2 linked regions of the Coturnix japonica genome follow. The protein of the gene in region 1 purifies or fractionates together with the protein of each later gene. This does not show direct contact. Links are inferred from orthologs where the notes say so. Each region holds a gene or a part of one and is shown on either strand. Other genes may lie near its edges. The genes, in order: MOS and FKBP5.

Region 1 (8,122 bases):
ATAGCACTTTCAAAAGAAAAACCTAAACCTTTTAAGAAAGTTTCTTACAGGTTATGCTTTTTATTATAAAACCTTTTTATTATAATTTGTTTCAAGTGCCATTAGATGACATATATGTAGGCCTTTGGTATAATGCTTTGTGTACAAAATGGTAGACATTGTAATTTTAAACAGGTACATTTTTACAGTGTTTTCTTATCAATTTGCTATATTGCACAGAACCAGTGTGTCTTTCTTAAGGGTTTTACAATGGTTTTTACTAGGTTTACATGTTTCAAACTACACTGTCTTCTACTGCCATTTTGAATACCAGTCCAAAAAAAAAGAAAAAAAAAAAAGAAAAAAAGAAAAAAAAAAAGGAAAAAAGAAAAAGAAAAAAGAAAAAGAGTTTGTCCTCACTCACCAATTGTAAATTGTGTCCTCTGGAGTTCTGGGTGGTAACTATTGCAAAAATATTTAACACGCAGTATTTGATGCAGATTTTTTTAACATATGCTCTCAACGCTATGCTGCTGTCTGAAGTTAACTAAGGGCCTGATCCTGCATCCGTAAATGTCAAGGGGAGCAGGGCTGCATCCTTCGTTATGTCTGTCTCATACACTGGTTTAGCAGCTCATCCTATATTCTTCTCAGTCTATAGATAAGCCTCCGAAATAAATGTACTTACCTGGTATGTAGTAAACTGTATAGACTTTGCTGCCCATTCTGCATCTTCCCAGTGTACAATTAAAACCATAGGCATTAGCATTACACTCAGCATACAAACAATGCCACAGTGGTTCAAAAATGTGTTTGGATTGTCCCAAAGCTTTATGTAATAAGGGTGTCTTACTTTGTTGGAAGGCAGTGTCTTTTGATAACAGTTATCTAGCCCTGGAAGTGACACAGAACTATTGCTAATCATATGTAAACACTTTTCAGTATAAGCTTCAGTGGTACAGTTGAACCAGAGTGAATGTTTATCTCCTCAGAAACACTCCTGCAATATTGTTATATTGGATCATGCTGCTAATGTAACTTGGGATACAACTCCTCTCATGGTGCTACAAACCTCCCTGTCTCATTCAGATGTATTTTTACCCATAGAAAAAAAGGACTATACTAGACCTATAGTTGTATGATATATTTTTATACTGTGACTTAATTTGTCATTAATGAACTTTGTACAACACCACAATGTATTCATATGCACTTGCAGAATTAAAATGTTGGACATGCAAATTTAAACGCTGACAAGCCCAGCTCTTATTCACATAAAAAAAAGATAAAAAAAATAGATGATTTAGTTACAATTAAACGTGGGCTTTTTATATGGTGTGGAGTGAAGAACATACTATATATTACTAAAAGCTTCTGAATTTAGACAAAAACTGGGAAAGAGTATATTGGGGAATGATGACACACCCAAACCTGGCTTGGATTGCTGAAATTCTATTTTATAGATAGTGGGAAAATCGTTTGGACTCGAATGCTAAAATGTTTGAATGATCAAATTTTTGAGTCAAAAACAGAGGGAAAAAAAAAAAAAAAAAAAAAAAAAGAACACAGAAAACCCTGCATTCCAGACAGAATTTGTGTATGTTTCTTGCATTTAAAATTTGCTATCCTGTGATATGGGAAATTGAGTTGCTTATCATGTATATGTACTTTAAAATGTATTCACAAACTACTGTTGTATTTGTATAAAATATAGACAAAAAGATTGCGTATATATTTTTGTGTATAAGCTCTGTAAAATAGCAATCACATTATGAAGCTGCAGCAGAACTTCATTTTAAACATTCACATCCAAAGAAACAGACTATTTATTGTCCACATACCCTGATTATAAAATATACCTTGCTGCTATTAAACAATAGTGCTGCAGCTTCTTGTGGCCTACAGTGTTATGTTTGCTGTACAAAAATATGTGAACTCCACAAAATATATCAATAAAATTACAGAATGGTTTTAGTTAATGAATAACTTATGCCTGGCATTTCAATAGATAATCTCGGTCTGCATGCTTGGGATTGCAAGGAGTGATTTTACATACATCCAGTTTTCCTGGGTGTAGTTATTCTGATTTTGCAAAGGTGTAACTGTGTTCCTGACTGATGACTGGTAAAATGTCAGTTTTGCAGCAAATCTAATGAGCAGAAGTTTCTGCCTTTCATGATTTTACCAAGGAACAGACTGGATGATGCTACTGTGTCTGTGACAAGACAGATTCTAATAGAAGCAAGCAGTCGCATTTGCCATCAAGCTGCCCTTTTGAGAAGCTGGAAGGTGAGTTTGGGGGTCTCGTGGGAGAAATGGGTGAGCGATTCTCTCCATCACTTCAGATGAATGCAAGTGATTTATTTTTGTTGTCATAGATCGTAGGATAAACTGTGAGACTGTGGCATGTGTTCCAGGCACAGTGTGTGGGTTGCCTCTCTTGACACGCTTCCAGGAGAAACTTCACTGTTTTGATACCACACACCTCCTGTCTGCCTGTGACACTGCTGTGGAAGCCTCGCTAACAAGTCTGACTAATGCACTGAGTGAAGAAGTACCATGAAACCAGCAGCCTACCCACAGTTGCAGAAAGCTGCAGAAGAAAGTGCTCTTTTTCCATGTAGCCATTTTCCTAGCATGAATTGTTTGCCAGGAAAGGAAAAGAATTAGCGTTTGCTGTTAAGCTGCTTCAAATTTGCATTTCCTTGCTCTTCAAAATGTATATTACTAATGCCCTGCTCTTCCAATTCTTTAATTTTTAGATTTTCTCCTGTTCACCAGTCTGAAAGAGAGGATCTTTCCAGAGTCACTAACTGTGTCATACAGACACTTTTGCTTTCTTGCGACTCCCAGCTGTCGCCTCTGAACTGACTTGTCACTTCTGTGTCACAGGTTTCTAACTGACTTGAGAGAGTTGGCCATGGTAAGAGTCAACAGCTCTACAGATGGAGGAAGAGGCGGTACCTGTCTTCAACTGCTTCTTGTCCAGATTTGCTTGAAAGGTGTAGAAGAAAGGAATGGAAGAAAAAGATCTGTTATACTTTCTCCCTTTGCTTTCCCTTCTTTCCTTCCATTTAATAAGTGTACCCTAACATACAGAATGTTTGGGGTTTTTTTTTGACAGAGAAATCTAAACCTGTGCCCCTGAGCTCCTGTTAATCACAATTTCTGATTAATCTGAAATCAGTATATTGCCTAAACTTTTGTGTATATATATCATCGTATCATAGTATCACAGTCTCGTGCGGGTTGGAAGGGACCTTAGAGATCATCGAGTCCAACCCCCGGGATTCGAGCCTCTGTGTAGCAGAGCGGCACTTCTACCACTTGCGCCACAGGGGATTCGAACCTGGGCTCCGGTGTCGCAACGCGGCATTCCAACCACTGCGCCACCGGGGCACACTAACTATATATATATATAATTATATATACTATATATATATACAAATATATATACTATATATATATACAAAAGAGTGTGTGTGTGGTGTGTGTGTGTGTGTGTGTACATGTGTGCATGCATGGGGAAACTTTCCAAAGTTGAGAAATACATTTTGTTTCACTTCAAAAAATGTAAGCATGGAACTTCAGCATTTTTCAAGTCCAAAGTGAATCACGCTATTGGTAAAGGTATCTCCCACTTAACACAGTGCTTGGTTTCCCAGACACATTGGAAGAGTTTCTTCCAATTCCTCGATTTATCTACGAGAGGCAGCAGCTTATCTACAGGGTGCACAGCCTCCTGTGGGGAAGGTGTTTTTCAGCTACCCCTGTGTAGCATTAGATAGATATTCAGTAGAAGAGTCCTTGTTGGCAGAGCCTTTGAATTTAAGCTCACCTCTGGCTTATTGCCTTTTTATTAAATGATTGCACATGTGGTCATGGGTACATCCTTAAGTTTCTCTCGCAAGTACTTACACTGAAAGTGAAAATAAAGTATAGATGCTGTACAACTAAGGGGACATAAGATAAAGGAGCAACCTTTAAACTGTAACGTAGGAGCAGGAGTTATCTAACACTGAGGACAAGTAAGCATAGACTAACTTGCCAAACTCACTGAATTCTGTCCTGCTGCAGCCTAGCGATCATTACGATCATGGAGCTGGGTGTTATCAGTGGTCAGGGGTTTTGTGGGATGCTGGGATCACTGATCCTTCCACACATCACCTGCAACAGCAAGGGTTCAGTCCCAAGCATCAGCATTACATCTGCTGTGCCTGGGAAATCATCTATCACCTAGTGGTTGCGTAGCACTAATGCTGTCCCGTTGGCCCTTTGCTGTGGCTGATTCACGTTGCTCATTAAGCACAGAAGCCGTTTTCTATTCCCTGACCTACAACTCTCAAATTCCACCAATGCTCTTTGTTATCACCCCACAACCCAGCAAAGCTGTTTGTTAGCTGCGCTACAGGGGCAGGACTGCAAAAACACTCTTGGCCAATGTGGCTGGAAGCACTGCATGATGTGCCTGCCTTATACAGCAGTAATCCCACAGGGAGAGGCACCCATCTCTGTGTCACCTGAAAGTGTTCTGCGGTCCAGAGTTTCACCTTTATCATCCTCACACCTAAATTTAGACCATTTCGTCTCAAGGGTGCTCTTCTGCAACTGTGATATTAACCCACAGCACCAGGTTCCAAGTTGTAATCACTGGTCCAATTGTGTTCATAGTGAATGGGCCATGAGACCCCCCCCTGCTTTCCTCCAGCTGCCTCCAGGTAACACCTCAGAGCATTGCAGCAGGGAGAGCCTCTGCTTGCTGCTCTGAAACACAGTAACCTTTTGGGGATGAAAATAAAAAAATATGGAGCGACTGTTTGGCAGTGTGTGTTTGAAACTTGATCTTATTATTTATAAACCAGGATTTAACCTTTTAAAATGTTTATTATTATGGCTCTTTTCTAAAGAAGGGCTGTAAGATCGCATTGCAACTCCCGTGGATGCGCTTGTTCTTGGCATTAAGGTTTACCTCTCAGCGCTTTAATGAAAACTTGTCTACATTTGCTACTACAAGGTGTCATTTGCAAAGCAACCATAACTCCAAAATACAAACTATTCACTTCTGGCTCGTCCTTGCAGTTAAAATAAACAGTCGTCTGTGGCCCATCCTCAGAGCAGGCTGTGTGTATGGACTGGCTTCAAATGATGATGTCGCTTACGCCTGCACAATTGATTTTATCAGAACTGCTTTCATGCAACTCAGAATACCGTTAAGAGGTCTATGAAGTGTGACTGGAAGCAACACTTGCACTGTGAAATGAGGATAGAAGTGAGAAGGAACGTCAGTTTGTCATCAAACCCCAAAGTGAGATCACAGAGACTGACAGCAAGCGGAAAAAAAGCTTTGATTTAGAAAGGGTAAAGAAAACTCAGAAGTCACAAAGGTACAGGCTAAGGAGCCATGTTGTTTTCAGAGCAGAATAAGTACTTAGGAGATAAATGCAGGAATTTAATAGAAACAGTGCTACCTTAATACTGGAAAGCACTTCTTAGAAGACACTGAACACACAGGCCTAAAAGGGGTGTGTTTTTCACTGAGCAGATGCACAAATAAATAAACTAATGGTTGTGGAGAAGAATTTAACCATATGCTTTAAGAACAAAGGGGACAGACACTTTAGCAGGAACTGTTGTGATAGCACAGAGGGAAATGATTTCAGGCAGAATGAAAAGAGATTTAGACTGGATATAAGTGAAAAGTTTGTTACGATAAGGGTGGTGAGGCACTGGAATATGTTGCCCAGAGAGGTGGTGGGTGCCCCATCCCTGAAGATGTTTGCAGGACAGGCTCTGTTTTGCAAGTCTATGAACAGTGGTAGTAGCTAACAGCACTGGCAGATGGAGTTCCTGGAGTACAGATGAGATGCCCATGGGTGATGCTGTGCTCCTCAGCTTGAAGCACAGCTGAGGCTGGGAAGCTACTGCAGCATCAGACGTACATTTTACTGTAAAAGTGTTTCATAGAAGCCTGGAACATCAGGATCCTGCCACAAGTTATTGGCACTGCCACATGCTGCAGCCCTCAGGACACAGGCTGCATGCTTTGCTGTTTTTACTTCTAAAAGTTCTTATTACGTGCTTGCTCTTAATGACACTTGCAGCAGCCAGAGCTCAAGACATGCTGAAGTTCCCTGCCGGTAAGCACTGGTTCACACAGCTTCCTTTTTCCTTATATTGCTGTGGGAATAGCAGCGACATGGGAACAGCAGAGCTGAAGGCCTTCCTGGGTGCCCAGTGTGGGCTCTCCTGGGGAAGGCACTGGGATGAGTGGGGCTGCCAGCCCAGCACCCTGCTTCTGAGCAGGGACAGTGGAGCTGAATGTAGCTGGGAGGTGTGGCAAGGACGTCCTGCAGTGGTTGTTTCTCAAGGGAAGCAGCTGTCATTTCCATCTCCAGTATAGATGGATTTACTTATTGCAGCTTTCTGTTATCATCACAGCTCACCTACTGAGAATGCACTTCTTCTGAAGATTTTAAGTGGAGCCACCACACAGGTATACAACCCCAGCACTGCTGCAACCTGTTGTCTGTACTGGTTGCTTTGCAGCATATTTAAAACTGCAGAGAGGTTCCTTGTTGGTGTCCTCCACTGCCCCCAGATGTCCCAGCATAGCTGATGTCAGAGCAGGACCCTGCCCCTATGAGACCTCTCTCCAACCTCTACCTTGATAGCAACTCCTACCACACATTAACACCTATTTATCTAAATCTCCCCTAGCCAATCTGTTTCACATCACTGGGTGATAATCCAGGTTTCCCATTCTCATTCTTCTGTTGACACCTCCTCCTGTCAAACACAAGTTGCAGGTCCCTTTAAACTCACTTTTACATTTAGTTATGCCTGCCATAGGCCTATCAAATGTTAGTGGTTACTACTCAGCTGTGTCCTCTGAGAATGACCCCAGGTTCTCTAATGCATCTGACAATTATCATTTTCCTACAACCCCAGCAAAATGCACTCACTTTATTTACTACCAGGGCATTTTGCTAGAGATATTCATTGAGCAAAGTATCTTTCTTATCTCCTGTGATTAAAAATCATGCAAAATACACACACACTAATCTGTTTTAGTTTTAAATCCATAGACCTTTACCTTCTGGAGATTTACATAAGGGTGGAAGAAGAATGTTCTCAGATGAACCTGATTATGGGGTTAGCTCATTGAGACAGATGCAGATCATTAGGGGGTAGGAGGGGAAAATTGTGCAGAGAGAATAAAAGAGCCTTTGGAAAATGCCACAAGGAAGCCTTCCAGTCTCTTGTCCTCCTAACTGTTTCTGGCATCTTATTATGCCATCACCTATTCCTTTTAATAGCTTTCTTCCTTTAGAGCTCTCCCCATCTGCAGACTTGAGACCTTGCAGCAGCCCTGTAGTTATCCCTGGCAAAGATGGAAAAGCCTTCCTAGGAGGGACCCCCTCACCCAGGACACGCCGCCTGCCCCCACGTTTGGCTTGGTGCTCCATTGACTGGGACCGACTCTGCCTTCTGCAGCCCTTGGGATCTGGAGGCTTTGGGGCTGTCTACAAGGCCACCTACCATGGTGTGACTGTGGCTGTGAAGCAGGTGAAGAAGAGCAGCAAAAACCGTCTGGCATCCCGACAGAGCTTCTGGGCTGAGCTGAACGTAGCCCGACTGCAGCATGATAATGTGGTGCGTGTGGTGGCTGCCAGCACGTGTGCCCCTGCCAGCCAGAACAGCCTGGGCACCATCATCATGGAATATGTTGGCAACATCACCCTGCACCATGTCATCTATGGCACTCAAGATGCGTGGAGGCAGGGCGAGGAGGAAGAAGGAGGATGTGGGAGGAAGGCTCTGAGCATGGAGGAGGCTGTGTGCTACTCGTGTGACATTGTGACTGGCTTAGCCTTCCTTCACTCGCAGGGCATCGTGCACCTCGACCTGAAGCCTGCCAATATCCTCATCACTGAGCATGGAGTATGCAAGATCGGAGACTTTGGCTGCTCCCAGAGACTGGAGGAAGGCTTGTCCCAGAGCCACCATGTTTGCCAGCAAGGGGGCACATACACCCACCGTGCGCCTGAGCTCCTCAAGGGTGAGAGGGTCACTGCCAAAGCAGACATCTACTCCTTTGCCATCACACTCTGGCAGATCATCATGCGGGAGCAGCCCTACCTGG
Region 2 (7,314 bases), on another chromosome or scaffold:
GGCTATGGAGCTGCAGCCCACGTGCTGGGCAACACCTGTGGTTCATACATGGAGATACAGGTGCAGCCCATACACACAGAACAGATGCAGCCCATACACAACCTAGAGTTGTATGCCATACATACTTAGAGCTACAGCCCATACACAAGTATAGCTGCAGCCCATACGGACCTATAGCTGCACTCCATATACAAACACAGCAGCAACTCATATACAACCATTAGCTGTAGCCCATAGGTAGACCTATAGCTGCAGCTCATGCAGACCTATTACCACACCCTACACAGACCTAAATAGGTACACTGGTTCAGAAGATATTATACCAGAATGACCCACACAGACTATTAAGTTGTCCTCTCCTGTTACAGTACACAGTACGACATTGGTTTTTGTTTCAAGAAATTTTGGATAAGAGCCTATTATGAGAAAGCGATCTTTCATGGGTTACATAATTCAGGAAATACACACTATCATGTCTCAAACTCCCCCAGCCCTGCCAGCGAGTGGCTGACATTTCGCTTTACCCAATTCATCAACTGCCGCGGGACGGGACAGAACCTGGAGCACAAACACCAAATCTGTCATCAGCTGTTGTGAGTCCACATCCTAAACACTGTGATCGACAACCAAGCACCTGACAGCAGCTTCTGCATGCGACAGACCAAGAACCAAGGGGCTCCATCCCATGCTGCTCTGTCAGCCCACACACAGCCTAAAGCTGCAGTCTATCCATCCCTACAGCTGCCGCCCATAAATGAACTACAGCAACAGCCCATGTAGACCTATAGCTGCAGCCCATATAAGACCCTCATGGCCTAAAGTTGTGCCAGGCGAGATTCAGGTTGGATGTTAGGAAACACCTCTCCAACAAAGTGGTCAGGTGCTGAAAACAGCTGCCCAGTGAGGTGGTGGAGTCACTGACCCTGGAAGTGTTCAAGAAACATTTAGATGTTGTACTGAGGGACATGGTTTAGTGGGAAATATTGGTGGAAGGAAGATGGTTGGACTGGATGATCTTGTAGGTCTTATCCAACCTTGGCGATAGTAAAATTCTATGAACCTATGCATGACCTATAGCTGCCACCCACACCTCCATCCTTGTCCCAGCCTCCACTTGCTGTTTTTCAGCCCCATCACCCTGCTGAGCATCCCAAACCTGACCCCCCAGGCATGCACAACAAACCTTTGCATCCCTCTCAGCAAACTTGGCAAACATGTTGGCGTAGATCCTCCTGTCCCGTTCATTGTGCTCCTTTGTCTTCTTCTGGCAAATGGAGATCTGCGACCTGGCTGCTTTGTTCTGTGGATTCACTTCCAGCACCTTTTGAAAGTCACATTTTGCCAGCTCAAACTCGTTCATCAGCAGCCGGGCTTCGCCCCGCCGGTACAAGCCCTTCTCGTTGTCCTGGTCCAGCCCCAGTGCCTGCAAGCACAGAGTTCTCCATAGCTCAGCAACCCTCAGAAGCTTATTTGCTATGGATACAGTGGGCTTTTGTCCCAGCTTCATGTTATTTCCTTACAGTGAAAGCCTCCTGAGAGCCCCAGATTCATCTCATTCATAACATCAGTTTGGGTTAAGGCAGCAAGCCTCACGCAACAAAGAACCAGAGGCAAGGTTCTTAAACTTCGGTGGACGCCTCACTCTGAAGACACCCAAAGTCAGGCTGGACAGGGCTCTGAGCACCTGATGGAGCTGTGGGTGTCACTGTGCACTGCAGGGAGTAGGACCAGATGGCCTTCAAAGGTCCCTTTCCACCCAAACAATTCTAGATTTGAGCCTTTTATAAAATAAGTGTCCTTAATGCGACCAACACAGTGCCCTTAGGAAACCGCTGCTTGTGCAAAGACAAACTGAACAGGGAAGGAAGACTGAAACAAAAGTCATGCTTCCATACCTTATCACAGCACTCAACAGCTTTGGTGTACTCGCGCAGCTTCAAGTAGCACATGGCCAGGTTGAGGAAGGCAGCCAGCAGGAAGGAATCGGAGGCTTTCGATTCCTTCTCCGACAAGCCATACTCCATCTCCAGCCAGGACACGATCTTCCCATACTGAATCACCGCCTGCAGGTATTTGCCTTCCTGAGAAGGAGCAAAGACAGGACACAGGGAAGGGCTTAAAACTAAAGGAGGGGAGGTTTACACTCAGTGTTAGGGCAGAGTTCTTTATCCAGGGGGCAGAGAGGCTCTGGCACATCTGCCCAGATCTGTGGGTACCCCATCCCTGGTGGTGCCTCATGCCATGGATGGAGCCATGGGCAGTCTGAGCTGGCAGGGTGGAAGGGCTTGGGGGGCTGTGAGGGCCCTTCTGACTGAACCATTTTAAAGTTTTATGATCTTTAAGGTATCTTCCAACCCAATTATTCCATGGTTCTATGATTATACTTCAGACTCAGAAAGACAGTGGATCTGCTGAGGACAGTGAGCAGCTGGGCTGGCAGAAGTGGATGAGGCTGCATGGCCCCAGTAAAGCTGCACTTCCTATGGAGTATATTTGTTACATAGGGAGAGGAACTGGCAAAGGACTGGCACTTTTTGGGAAGGGAAATTTCTGACATTTTGACCCCTTGAAGACCCAGTGAGGTGAACTTGCTCCAAGTGCCCAGCAGCGCAGCTACCTGCTCCTGCCTCAGGTGTCACAAACCTTGAAGTACATTGTCCCCTTCTCCTTGACGATGGCAGCCTGCTCCAGCTTCTCTTTGGTGTCCATCTCCCAAGACTCTTTGGCCTGCAAAGAAATACTCAGAGCCACCATCCCATGGCGTAGCAACGGTTGCACAGTGGGAGCAGTGCTGACTCAACACATCCTGCAACTCCAAACACCAGTCCCACCTTCATGCACACACACTTAGGAAGTGGTAAGAAGAGCAAAATTAATGGGATGCCGCAATCCAGGCAGCCCCAGGAGGCTTTGGAGGATTTCTCTTTAATAGTGGGGCTCAGCAGGGTGGTCTTATGCAGGACAGAGGGCTGAATTTGAGGGACTGGAGAAAATAGGGAATAGGAAACATTCATGGAGCAATGCAAAGCGCACGCCTGTGGTACAGAGAAACCACTGCAGGGATGAAACGTACTCTGAGCCCAGCAATACAGCACGGCTTGTCCACTGCCATACACCCACTGCAACCCCACAGAATGAAAAATTCCAGCATAAAACAAACCCCCAAAAGGTTTTTTCTTTAACTGAAAAAACAAAATTACAAAGATGGGAAGATCTCTCCTAAGTATAGGGCAGGCAGAGGTTTTTGGCACCATCCCTGCTCCAGCCAAGGTTAGGGACCCAGCAGCACCTGTGCTGTCCCCACTCTCTGTTCTCATCCCCAGCCCCTCCAGCACTAACCCCAACCCTCCCTCATCAGGACACAAAACTTAATTATTATTTTTTTCTGTGCAGTCCAAGGAGATAGAAAACAAAACAAAACAAAAAGTACAAAAGGAACAAGGTTAGGAACAAATAAAAAAAACAGCCTTGGAGCTGGGCCAGAAAAATGAAACAAACCAACACACAAGAACAAATTAAGAACACGGCGATACTTGCTGACGTCTCCACTTCAGCAGGGCCCGCAGAGCAGCAACACCAGGGACAAAGGGTGATTGTGGGGGGGTCCTGCCCTTCCTGCCCTCACCTTCTCAAAGCTTTTCAGTGTGACTTCGTACACCAGCTCAGCGTTTGCCTGAATGCCATACTTGGGTTTCCCTGCCTCGCCGAAGCCGTATCTGCAGGGAGGAAGAGAGCAGCTCAGGTGGGGGTCAGAGGCACCCACAGCCTCCTCCAAACCCCATCCTTCCTCTGCTAACTCTACCATTCTCCTCCTAAATAACCCCCTTCATCAACCAGCATCTTTAAAAAGCAGGAAAAGCTAAATCCCCTATATATCTTCATTTTAGCAAGCACTCACCCAAGTTGCTCACTGTTCTCACAACTGGCTCCATGCTAATACTGCTGGGTTGGAGCACTGTTATTCTCCAGAAGCAAAGACATGTCGCAGCATACAATGCAGTACAACACGTGCATCTCCAGATGCACACAGGTGCACCAGACCTGGCTTTACACTGCTTTCAACATGTGCCAGGACAAGGAATGGTGATTTCCTGAGCCCCGACAGCTGGATAAAGATCCTTTCAAGTCCCTGCCTCCCACTCACTCCTCTGGCAGTCCCTGCTGGTGACACTAACATATCCAACAGAAGTTCTGTTGGCACATCTGCATTTTCACAAATGCTCTAATGGCCTCCAATGTTGGAAGTTTCAACCCTGCTCCAAGCAGTATGAGCACAGGATCCCTTACCGTGGCCCCAGGTAGAGGATGCAGTGCTCTCCCCTCTGCATCTTCTCCAGTGCTTTGTCAATGCCAATAGGGATGTCGTGGTCCTCCCCTTCGCCCACCACAAACTTCACATCCTTGCAGTCAAAGCGGGTTCCACCACAGAACCCCTCCAGGTGAACTGTGGGACAGAGTGAAGACCACGGGCAGTCAGCACCGTGTGGCTCCCATAAATCATTTTCCAAAGGATTCTGCACATAGGTGACACTTAAGGAAGTGGAAGCAGAGCTGGGGCAATTCCATTCAGCGACCACATCCACCACAAGACCCCCAAATCCCCCCCACGTCCCCCCAGCTGAGCCAGAGCCCTGGAAGCACCAGAGGAGACAGTGAGCAGAGAGGGGTGGGAGGGCTTGGACAGCATTGCTAAAAAGCAGTGCAGCCGTATCTCATCCCAGCAAGGACCAGACAACAGATAAACATTATGACTAATATGTTCCCCTTGTGCTGCACTGCACAAGTCAGCCTTACTGGAACTGGATACTGCCCCTGGCACACTGCCATGCAGAGTTCACCGTGGTGATTACAGATCTCCTATACAGCACTATACACTCGCCTTACACCTCAAAAACAAGGCCATGTTCTCCTGCCTCTGCTAAACTGAAAGTACAAGACAAAGGTTCAGTCTTTCCATCTTCAAGCAATATGCTGTTCCAGCCCATGGAGCTGGCAGGGGCTCGGCAGGGTGGACAGCAGACATGGCAAATTTGCCACCTGGTGCTTCTAGGATGATTTCCACCCTGAGTTCTTTCCTTATTTATTCAGTCCTGAGGATGGTGTGCATTCAGGGGACAGTGGGTGTTCCCTGCACTCAAAGCAAGCCAAGTAAAAGTGATCCCACAAGATGCTCCTACCTACTGCAGGAAAACTCCCCCAGAGCCTTCAAATGGTAGGAAAAAAAAATCATGGTTAGGCATTAATGCTGCCAAAAGTGTTTAAGGATGCTGCAGCAGAACCCAACAGCATGGATGGATGGATATGAGTTTCTTGAGTGCATGCTGCTGAGAAGCCAGAAGGGTTTTTATTGCCAATATAAATGCTGCTAAAGCAGGGAGAGACGAGAGAAAAAAATTAACCCCTTTTCTAAGCAGGGATGGTTTGGCCACTCATTGATGCGCTGCCAAGGACAGTACTCTGCTTTGTGCAGCTGGTCTGCATGATGGAAAACCCACCTGCTGTTCCAGGGCTAAACCCTGCTGAGCACCTTGGGAAAACGGAACATTCAGCCTAAAGCACAAGCAGCCCACCAACCTCATGGCTCCTTGCTGTCTCTGTGCTTTCTGCGCCCACCATCCCTGGCCCTGCGGATCCCTGGGTCACCTGTCAGCAGCAGGACAAGCTGATCCCACAAGCCCTCCTCAACAACAGGATGCCCAGAAGAACACGAGCTCCCAGCCCTCGCTTCAAGAGAAGCAGAAGAGTTTTCCTTCCATTCTAATTGCACACTAGAGATGGGGAAATCTCTGCTCCGGTTTCCAGGAGCATTTCAGCGCTATCTGAAGCAGGTCAGCTGGCTGCGGTTGCTCTTGGATTACAGAAAGCAAAGCCCCTGCCGGGCTCTGCACATCCCTTCGGCTGCAGTGGCTGACTTATTGTTCTCCCGGTGCCTGCAGCGATTTTGTTTTTGAAGAGCTCAGAACACAGTGTACCGAGTGCGGCTGGCACATGAACTTGATGTGCTGACAGCAATTTGTACTCAGATTAAAATGGAGAGGAGGGGGAGGGGGTGGGGAAAGGTTGTAACAAAAGCTGGAATGTGGGATTTTGACTGCAGCCCGTGTTTTAGGAACCGGAACTGCAAATTACGGCCTGTAAAACTCAAAGCTATAGAACTGCTTATGAAACTCCAGACTGGAGGTGCTCACCCTGGCTAGTGCACATGTTTCCCCAGCAGGCTTCTAACAGAGGTTTTGGGCACCTGGGAGCTATCCCTGATGCAGGGTTTGTTGGGGAGTGGAGTGAAAGACACAGAGGTGCCTGTGCACCCCCATAAACTAAGGCCGCTCCATGGGGTCCCATCTCTGCTGCTGGGCTCCCCTGCAAACAAGCCCCAAGCAAAGCACTCCAAGGTAAACAGCAGTGCATTTGGAAAATAAAAAGCCTCTCTGCACCCAAAACCTGCAAGGCTGCCAGGCTGGCTCACTGCTGCTTTGCATCTTTTCTCATTGGGATGTATTTATGGTCTCTGGCCCCAGGCTGCAGGTTGGTGCGAAGAACCTGCAGCCACCTTGGCGCAGTGCTCCTGCTCTGAGCAGCGCTGTTATGCAGCGCTGCCTCCAAGGGCATTCATCTCTATTACCCTGACTGTTTGTCTGCTCCTGTTCTCCGTGTTTGCTTGGAACCGAGCATCTACTTGAAACAGGAACAAGTCAGCTTCAAGGTGCAGAGCACCCAGAAACACAGCTCCACAGAGAGCTCCGGTTGCTGTGTCCTTTCAGAGCAGCAGATGCTCACAGTATTTTCCCCAGCCTATCTCCATCCTGCTCTGAGCAACCACGCTGTCACTGCATCTGAGCAAAGGGGAAAGCATGGCTCTGCCCTGCTCCCCAGGCACATGGGCTCACCCCTCAACCCCATTTTGAATGAAATAAAAAACAGCGTTAAAGAGGCAGGAGGGAATGGGATTGGTTGTCATTCTGTTCAGCTTGTTTCTCAGGTTAACCTCAGAGACAGGGAAGGCAGCCTGAAATCCTACCCCCAGCAGTGTCTAGCCATGTGACAGGCAGATAGATCAGCAGGAGACAACATCTCCTTAAAAAAGTCTGTGAGAGGAACAGACAGTGAGTTTTATGAGTTCAGATCTAATTTCACCTTCGCTAATGGAAGTTAATTGGACTCTCTTGAACGAACAGGAGCTCTGGAATGGGGATAAGAAACTAGATGCCTTATGCAGATGGCATGTTAGCTCTACTTCTATGGCTGAGTTGTTCTCAGGAGGAGAAAAAAAAGCTTGGCTGTCCCCGCCTTGGTAAGACATTTGCTCCATAAACA

Evidence for each region.
Region 2: the proteins of MOS (region 1) and FKBP5 purify together in Homo sapiens (affinity purification with mass spectrometry; 3 studies listed by BioGRID and IntAct, counting the BioPlex papers as one, with this or other methods). This does not show direct contact. The link is inferred for Coturnix japonica from reciprocal best matches to the Homo sapiens genes MOS and FKBP5.

What each region holds. Positions count from the first base shown.
Region 1 is NC_029517.1:100,573,875-100,581,996, reverse strand, and holds the start of MOS (proto-oncogene serine/threonine-protein kinase mos), read left to right. Parts: upstream 1-3,503; 5' UTR 3,504-7,212; coding exon 7,213-8,122.
Region 2 is NC_029541.1:450,704-458,017, forward strand, and holds part of FKBP5 (peptidyl-prolyl cis-trans isomerase FKBP5), read right to left. Parts: intron 4,445-7,314; coding exon 4,288-4,444; intron 3,717-4,287; coding exon 3,626-3,716; intron 2,728-3,625; coding exon 2,644-2,727; intron 2,082-2,643; coding exon 1,896-2,081; intron 1,424-1,895; coding exon 1,184-1,423; intron 1-1,183. UniProt on the Homo sapiens protein: Immunophilin protein with PPIase and co-chaperone activities. Component of unligated steroid receptors heterocomplexes through interaction with heat-shock protein 90 (HSP90).